Drosophila melanogaster: one gene and its partner. The gene in region 2 interacts genetically with the main gene of each other region. Each region holds a gene or a part of one and is shown on either strand. Other genes may lie near its edges. The genes, in order: ATP8B and Or67d.

The links.
Region 1: of Or67d (region 2) and ATP8B, changing one suppresses a phenotype caused by changing the other (phenotypic suppression), as found in Drosophila melanogaster (one study listed by BioGRID).

The regions. Positions count from the first base shown.
Region 1 is NT_033777.3:12,076,901-12,082,189, forward strand, and holds the start of ATP8B (ATPase 8B), read right to left. Parts: upstream 3,029-5,289; 5' UTR 2,781-3,028; intron 637-2,780; 5' UTR 577-636; coding exon 6-576; intron 1-5.
Region 2 is NT_037436.4:10,271,549-10,275,374, reverse strand, and holds Or67d (odorant receptor 67d), read right to left. Parts: upstream 2,172-3,826; coding exon 1,837-2,171; intron 1,716-1,836; coding exon 1,278-1,715; intron 1,206-1,277; coding exon 1,016-1,205; intron 964-1,015; coding exon 751-963; downstream 1-750. UniProt on the Drosophila melanogaster protein: Plays a role in detection and sensitivity to pheromones and signal transduction of the fatty-acid-derived male pheromone 11-cis vaccenyl acetate (cVA).

The DNA of each region.
Region 1 (5,289 bases), on a different chromosome or scaffold from region 2:
TTTACCCGAAAAATAGTACGAGCTGCGACGCCTTCTAATCTGGGAAAGACGTCTCAAACTTGGCACGGACTTTGACTCCGAGGTCACGGAAGGATCTCTCTGCTTATACAGTTCCTGGTCATCGGATTTGTTGGGTGGTGGATTGCCTCCTCCCGGCGCCAAGCTGTAGAAGCTATCTCCTATCATTAGGGGTGTGGCAATGGTTTGCGTAGAGCTGCCTATATTCATGCCCTCCGGTTGAGCGAGGCAAGCCCTCGGACTGCCCTCCAAATCGGAATTCCTTCTTTCCGGCTGCTTAACATCCTCATCTTCATTACAGTGCAATCGTTTCCTTCGATTTTTGGAGCTCCTGGCGAACTGAAACCATCGGGTTCTTTTGCTGGGCGCAGAGCACGAAGCTTCAGGAGCTTCTATTCCGGGCTCATCCACATTTCCGGCTCCCTTTGTTGGGGTCCGCTCATTGTCCTCCTGGAGTTCAGTTTCGATAGGTTGGCCCCCCAGAACTGAAAGTTCCAGAGTGTCAGGACGCCTCCTTAGCCGCCGGGCGGCCTCGCTGCATCTCCTGCCCCCGATCATGACCAGCTTAGGCTATAGGTGGAACAATAACGATATGGGGCGTCCGCATTACTCTTCATTCTACGAGGAAAATCGAAAGTTTAACGTGTTGCTAACTCCCGAAAGATTAAAATGCAATTGAAAACCCATCGGCACCGAACAAACTTCCCTGGAGGGCTGGCTCAATAAGACTGTTCCATCCATCATTTTGATAGACTGCTACCCCTCCCATTGACAAAGAGCCCCAGACAGCTGGAAACGATTCTCCTCACACATTGAGTGTTTGCACGCATATGTCTGGGCAATAAATAAATAAACAAATTTCTTCTGTGATTCTCGGATACCCAGGGGGAATCGTCTTCAAAGGGTATATCAAATACTTGTTGAGATTTTTAACTAGGACTGAGTTTGGGACTGAATGCGTCACGAAATATATGTACACCCACATTTTAAAGCAATTAAGGAAAATTTACTCGCGTTACAATATTCCAAATAAATAGGCTCTCATAGTTCTATCGATTTTTCTTAAACATAAACACAGTTTACCCTTTAAGCCCACAATTTATATCAATAAAATTTTTGATTGGCTTCCAAAAAGCATTGTAGGTTGTCCTAAACTGGCTGATGCCCCGTCATTCCTTTTTTGTTCTCCACAAGGCAAATATAGTTCAATAGCTGTGGTGCAGTTCAATTAAAAGTTCTTACAATAATTATTTATTGTGTGAGATTTTAATTTGAAACTCAAACAAACCGATTGTAACAAAAACTGGTAATTAATTTGGAATTGCTTTTCAGTGGTTTTTAATTATACTGGTTGCTGTACGGTCTGGTGTATGAAAGATTTCAATTTAAAAAAACTTTGAAAAGTATCTGAATGTTCTTGATAATAAGCATAAGCTTGATATCATCATTGGGGCAATATTAAGTTGCAAGAAAAAACTTTTCAAGAATCGCCTTTCTGGTTCCCTTGCCGTTGCTTTTAATGGTTCATTTTATAAAGCACGCACTGTATTTACTGCCAGTATCCATGCCAAACATTTTCACCTTGCTTTCTTGGAATTTTCTCGGAATTTTCATGTGAGTACATCTGGGTGCATTATGGTTGAGCAGTCGACTACAAATATACGCAGACATGTGTACTACTTTATGTTTACTTTACAGCCTTATGCTCGATTGAGCAAATCTGCAGTAAGCAAGTCGCTCTGGCGTCACAAAGCTTCTACTGGGTGAGTGTGTGTGCGTGTGTGTAAGCATTTTACACATTCAACAAGTGGCCTTTATTTGGGCAACAAAGAAAAGGAAGCTGCAGCAAACTAAAGTTCGCTCTTTTTACTCTCTCTTGCCTTTCATAATTGTGGAAAGCAGGCGGGTGTCAATGTCAAAACTGTTGTCAAGGCCACGGCGAATGCATGCAAAAGGTGGATATGAAAGGCATAACGGTAAGGGAGAACGGAAATTGAATCTGAGACGAAAAGTTCTGTCCAAAGTTTTTGTCTCTTTGCTAAGGATAATAAAGGCAATCGGCAAAAAATTTGGCCCCACTTCCGCCCGTTTTCGAATTACAGCTGATTGGCGCTCTCACATTATTTTGTATGCCTCTCCCAAGCGGACTCTCTCAACTACACTAAGGAAATTGGAGTGGTATGAATAAGGTATTCTGGGCTGGTTTTATTTGAAGCCCATTTTTATTAATTTAACATATATTTATCTAAGTACTTATGTATCTCCATTTAACCTTTAAAATAATATTAATATTAATATTATCTTTTTTCCCTGTGTAGCAACAACAATGCCGGGTAAGCTCTGTCGCGCTCTCTCTCCCCCTCTTTTCCCATGCACTCTTCCGCTCTCCTTAACGACGATATCCTGCTGCGAACATGAGTCATGCATGTGAATGTAAATTTGCTCCTTGCTCTCAATTTGTTTCGCCTTCTTGAGTTGTTTTTGCTGTTCGCTTTTCCTTCGCTCGCATGCGTCACCTTTGATGGGTTTGCAAGGGGCAGGGGTGAAAACAAATTAACTACAAGAAAAGGCCAAAAGAATCGATGAATGCTCAATAATTATGCTGGGAGCAAAGAAAGCACAACAAAACAGAGGCAAATGAGGAACATGTTTTCGGTGCCAGGTGCCAAATGCATCATCATGATCTCTCTTCGGCCCTTCCCCTTCTACCCCTATATCGCTCCTCCTCCTCCTCCTTCTCCTCCAACCACCCAGCTTCGTACATTTTTAGCACATTTCTTGCACTTATTTTGCACCGCTTGCGTTTGATTTTTCCATTTGTTGCTTATTTTTTTTTGCCTTTTATTAGTTTTCCTCGTATTTTTTTGTGAAAACGCGGAAACACCTTATTTTAAAACTGCAACTTGAGTTTTTCGCAAAGCAGGGAGTTATATTCCACTTAATTGGCCCAAGGCAACGCGAAGTGCTACGCGGTCCGCAGTGCGATAAACAAAAACGGCTAACGCCAAAGCCAAATGGCCAACTGCCGCGCGCAAACTGCGGCCAAAATGGGCGACGGCGACCGAGACGGCGACAGCGACGGCGACTGCGACGCCGTCAGCTGAGCGAAATGCGAGTAAAACGATGACAACAAATTGCCGACTGCGCTGCCAAGGCAACCGGACTTGGCAACCGATTCACGCACACCTTCAAGCGCAAACGGTTAAAACCAGCTTGTCTTAAAAGAGAGCTATGGAAAAGCTTCGATATCCAAAGTTTATCATTCCAACTCAAGTGATCTGTGGTTCAAAGGTTCAAAGCACAATAGGTGATAATTTCCACTCTCAGAATTGGCTTTTTGAAAAGAGGATTAACGTGAAACGTAGAAATCTTTTAAAAAGCTCTAGTAATGGGACCCGAGCTGACTTGATCGATTGCCTTAGGGTCGCAGTGCAATCGCTGAAGTATTTTGATGGGCTTATGGGTCGTATGAGTAATATTCACATAAACGATTATGCTATCAGGGTCCACCCTAATGGTTTTGCGGTGTTGGAAATAGAGCCGTATATATTTAAAAATGTTTATATTCTGTATTAATAATTTTATTTAATCCTACGATTTTTTAATTTTTTTTATATTAATACTAATAAAGAATAATTTAACAAAATATATATTACAAATTAATCACTTATTATTGATAATCGAAAGAGTATTACCGCGTTCGTTGCGGCAAAAAATCTGTCAACAATTTCCCAAGTTTGTCAAGCATAAAAATGAGCAAATTTCGTAAGTCACCCTAAGAAAAAAAAACAAGGGAACAAATTGAAAGAGAACGAGTGAGTCGACAAACAAATTGGAGGTGCTCTTCCTCGCTCTGTCACGTGAATTGAACAAGCAAGAGAAAGCGTGCTCTCTCTTACTCTCTTTTCATTCAAAAAAGCAGCAATGTCAATGTCAAAACAAAAAAAGCACATTATTGGCGCTTGAAGAAGTGGCGCATATGGGTTAATGAATGATTGCCGGGGGCGGGAAATGGTAATCACACCCCGTACACATTGCATTACGTTTTTTTTTTCGGAACAAGGCAAACTTAATCAGCGAAGCGCCAAACGCTGAATGTACATATTATTCAAGTTCCTATTAAATAATGAATTTCGAAAGGATGGATTGTGTAAGTTTATTTTGCGGTTATTGTGGGCACAGATTCGCATTCCCAGAATTCTTTGAAGACTTTACGTGTCGCTCATGTACAACATACATATGAACATAAGTACATAGTCTTATTATTATCAAAAGCAATTGCAAACATTATAGTTATAAATAGTTCAATATTACTTGAACATTCCCTACTTTCGTTTTCGTTAGAAATAAGTTGTGGCGCCTTGCAGTTTCTCAATTTGTTTTATTTGTAAAACAACTTTAACAAAATTGAGTTTAAGGGTCACAAACTTCACTTGGCAACTTTAAAGCTGGGTGGGTCGTCAAGACACTTGTCTCAAGTCAATAAAAAATTTTTACAAATTTTCCTGATTCGACACTCTTGGATTAGTTTCACATCAAAAGGTTAGTTTGTATCTTTGATCATTTTGTATAAAAACTAATTCGACCGCACATATACACCGCAATTTAAATTATATTTTTTGTAATTATCTGAATGAAGTGTTTAAATGACGACATATTCTACATTTTGCTGACTAGTGTATTACACAAAGTTATGTGCACACACTTACAAGTCAACAAGTACCCACCCCTACTCATGAATCGGAATAATTCGCATTCATTCACTTCATTCATTGAGCGGCCGAAACAAGGCGCCTAATAAATCGAAGTGCCGTTTTGACCAAGCTCAAGGCACTCACGCACTTACACATACACACTTCGACTCCCCCGCATATACAAACACACATACACATGCACATGTTTGGGCCATTGGCTAACGGTACCTTTGCGGAATAGTGTCAGGGCCAAAATCGAGCAACGGGCTGCTTTTTGTCAGAGTTCCGCGTCGTCTCTCCCTGCAATTGGTTTAGTAACGCCAAAGAACTGGGTCACTATCTGGCCGAAATCAGTAACAACTGTTCAACTTTTTGGCTGCCCGAGGCAGCGAGATTTCCCAATCTGAAATGCCAAAGGCTTTGAGCAAAATCAATTTGTAGCGGACATCGTGCTTATACTGGTTATTGATTCGTAAGTCGAGTTTTGTTCTATCGCTGAACGCATTAATTTTGTTTTAATTGTTAGTATCAAAGGTAAATCTACCAATACAGATATGGGTCTGCATTTATCATAGAA
Region 2 (3,826 bases):
TTTCACGATGGCACACTATTTCGGTTGCGTTTTAGCGGTGCGCGGACTTTTTGTTCTTTATGCCCGGACATAACTTTATTTTATTAGCACTACGTGGCAATCTGCTGGATTTGCACGGCATTAAAAGACAATTTTTACAACTTACCAGCGATGCTTTTTCATACTTTTCCCTCATTTGGATCGCCTGGGTTTTTTCCTTTCCTTTCGATGCTTGCTCTTTTTTTTTTGCTGTTTTTACTATTTTTCATGGTCTGTGGCCTGGCAGACATCATTTTTTGTGGGCCCATAAAGTGCGGGTCTGTTTATTAAATTCCGTTGCGGCAAGTTCATTAGACAAAGAGCAAAAATTAATCAGCGCTCTCCCCATCCAAATTCACTCCTCTCATTTGCTCAGCAGCAGTTTCAGCGGATTACTTTTATAGTATATATTTCTATGGCTAAAAATGGGAGCCAAATTGCCTAGCGATTTACGAGATTTGATCAAAGAAATCTCATTTGTTAAAGGGCTTAAATATTGCTTAGCCACTTTGTGACTATTCTCGGAAATTCTAAATTAGTCAAAATAGGTAATAGTTCTGATAAATGCAAAACCCATTAAAGAACTATTTGATGGTATCCATAAATGTTAGTTTTACAAAGCATGTATGAATATATTTTAATCTACACATTTTTTCAGTTGGCTCATTAAGTGTGTATTGTATTAATATGGTTTAAAAATAAGAGCGACTTTTAATTAAATATTTTGTTTTCTTATCCCAAATAGTTCATCAACATCATGCTGAAACTATATATGCCTTTCGTCAATTGCAAAGCTGTGTTCATCGACAAAGGCGCCATGTCGGCTGCAGTGAGTACAACTTCATTTTGAGCCTTGGCCAGCATCATGATAATAAGTTTCTCCTCCTTAACGGGTAGCTCATACCACAAACAATTCGTGTAGATCACACTTAGGAAATCCTCATTCTGAAAGGCATAAAATGATTACAGTTTCTTAAATAACAACTAAATTACTTACTGAATTTTCTACTAAAGTACCCAAGCCGCAAAAGGTGTAGAGAGTTATGGCGGCATATAAAAGGTAAAGAGGAGCTGCGGGCCAGGCTTTCATAAAGATGCAAGATATGGTACAGAGAAGACCTACGCAAGTTGTGGAAAGTTGAACGAACAAGACTATGGAATAGATCTTCTTGGTGGTTTGAAGCATTCTGCATAAACGCAAATATATATGTACAAAATACTATAAATATAAGTATTAATTATTTCGTTTAGCTAATTACCTAGTATACAGCTGATGCCAGACCAACAGGTCGCAAAGCATGGCTCTCACTTTTGGAAAATCATTCCTTTTCATAACCAACTCGTTAAATTCCGTAAGCTTCACACAGAATATGTCCTTGATTAACGGCACATGGGTAACGAAAAGAAATAGGTACATATCCCCTCCGTAGTTACCAAATCCACCGAATGTAATTAAAATCACATGAGCAGCCGTGAGTATTAGGTGACCACCATCTGTTGTGTGATCGAGGAATGGTATTAGAAATTGCATGACCAATACCTTTTGGTGCAGAATCAGCAAGTAGAATATGGGAAAGGTGATTACAAGGCCCAAAAGAATAATGTAGACGAGCATGAAGCCGATTAAAAGAGTCCATGTAATGCGGATTCGCTTCTCCAAGCATTTAGCATATTCATCTCCCTTAGATCCGTATTCTCTGCGGAAAAATATGAAAATGTTGTAAAATAAATAATTATATTGTTGAATATGTCAATAGAAAATTAATTTATATATTGGAATTGAACAAGTTGTTGCTTTTGTTAAAACCAAACTCTGACCTATAGATATCCTCGTAGGTATTCTGAACTTCTCGCATGTGAGAAGCATTATTGGCGGTTACCAAAAGTTTAGTAAGTCCCTGAACGGCGGAGCCGACCATGGCCAATGCCTGTAGGATTATGGTGAGGTCTCCATTGATGACCACTCCCACATAAATTGTATATCCTGTACAGGCGAAGAAGAAGGCAATGGCTGCCATCACAGCGTAGGTGAGCCACCACATCCGAAAATTGGGATCTGCCACATCGTTTCCGCAAAATCCCACGCAAAAGCGAATCATTCGAATGACTTTACAATAGCGCTCTACAGGCTCAACTTTTGCCATTTTCAACATTGTTTGTTAGCTATGCAACTTAAAGGAGAACTGTTTTTTAATTGTCAAAATAATCCTGCTTTTATAGAGCTTCCAAGCTGGCAATTAATGTCATAATATTGACGTTATAATTGCGGCATTTAGCTAAAGAATCTATTGTAAATAATTAATATTCAAGGGCGGTCGATATCTGAATAAAGTGCAATTACACTCAGCATTAAATATATTTTCCATTAGTGTTCTCAATGGTATATTTCTTTTATGAAAATAAAAGATATAAGTCTAGGAACTTTATGTTCTTCATTGATTTAATAAGAAATGAATCGCATTTTGTTTTTCCCCATCGTAAATTGCCTCCCAGCCAAACAACTTTTTGCATGAGCACATCTGCCACCCCGACCAGAAAACACAATATAAGGAGAAAATCTCCACGCAATTGATTTAATATAAAATTTTTTAATAAAATTTGCTGCCCGGGAAAAAAGTGGACTACGAGTGAAAAAAAAAGAAGGGAAACGTGAGCTGTTAGGGGAGCTTAAAATTATATCTATTTGCGGAGCGCACAAGTCTTGACGTGAAAATTTCGGGACAGGAAGCAGAATGTGGGGGGAAATGCGTAAGCGCCTAAGCTTTCGGCCAACAACTAATAAAGGCTATCAACAACAGTTCAAACAGCACCAGCATCGCAAACAACAACAGGCAGAGCAACAGCAACAAGGACGACAGGACAATGGGCACGAAATCAGGAAAACAGGATGAGAATGCCAGTGTCGACAGCGCATACGCACTCAAGTGAATATTTTCTCATTTTCTTGCATTTAAGTTGGGTTCGCTTTGAAGTTTTGACATTTCATAAAGCGGCAGCGAAACAAATTTCGTTCTTCCTCATTTCGCTTTTATTTCATTTTATTTTTTCGTTTATTCTATATATTTTTTTTTCGATCGAAAATCCGAGCAAACAAAAGTAAAAGCGAACGCTCGGCGCACGCAGAAAAAAAAATATACATATTCCCTGCTTAGTCACCCCTGCGAGAATGGAAGGTGTGGCCAAAAAAAAAAGAAACGACCCTCACAGGCCTACCCCCTGGAAAAATAATCGAAAGCGCCACCCCCACTTACTACCTCGCCATCGTGGCGTATACTTAATATGGGCAAAAGGCCAAGACAACAGGGGCTTTAAGTAGCCAAGGAAACATTAAAGACCCTGCCAGGCATCTCAGTTGGCCCACAAAATTACTTGCTCGTTAGTTAGGAAATACCAGGTATTCGTACTCCCCTCCTCTATAATCAATCTCTATCTCTCTCTTTCTCACTCTGTCCCTGTTCCTCACTCTATCAACCCTCAATGGAAAAAAAAATAAAAGGTGGGCTGTCTCACGCTCGCTTATTTCCAGCCGAACAAAAAACTTCTTCCAGTGGAAAGTGCGTGGCATTCCGAGGCCACCGCCCGCCAGTGGGCGCCACTGTATACACTGCAATTTTTAGTAGATGCAATGAAAGATTGGTGATCTCTTTGTTTGATATTGCGCATGTATAATTGCTAGTAAATAAATTTAAAAAAAATTGAATTCCCTATTAAAAAATAACGTTTATTAGTTAATTTTGTATAAACTGAGTAGTATAGTTTACCCACAAGTAATCTCTTGATATGAACTTAATAGTAGGCTCATAACAGA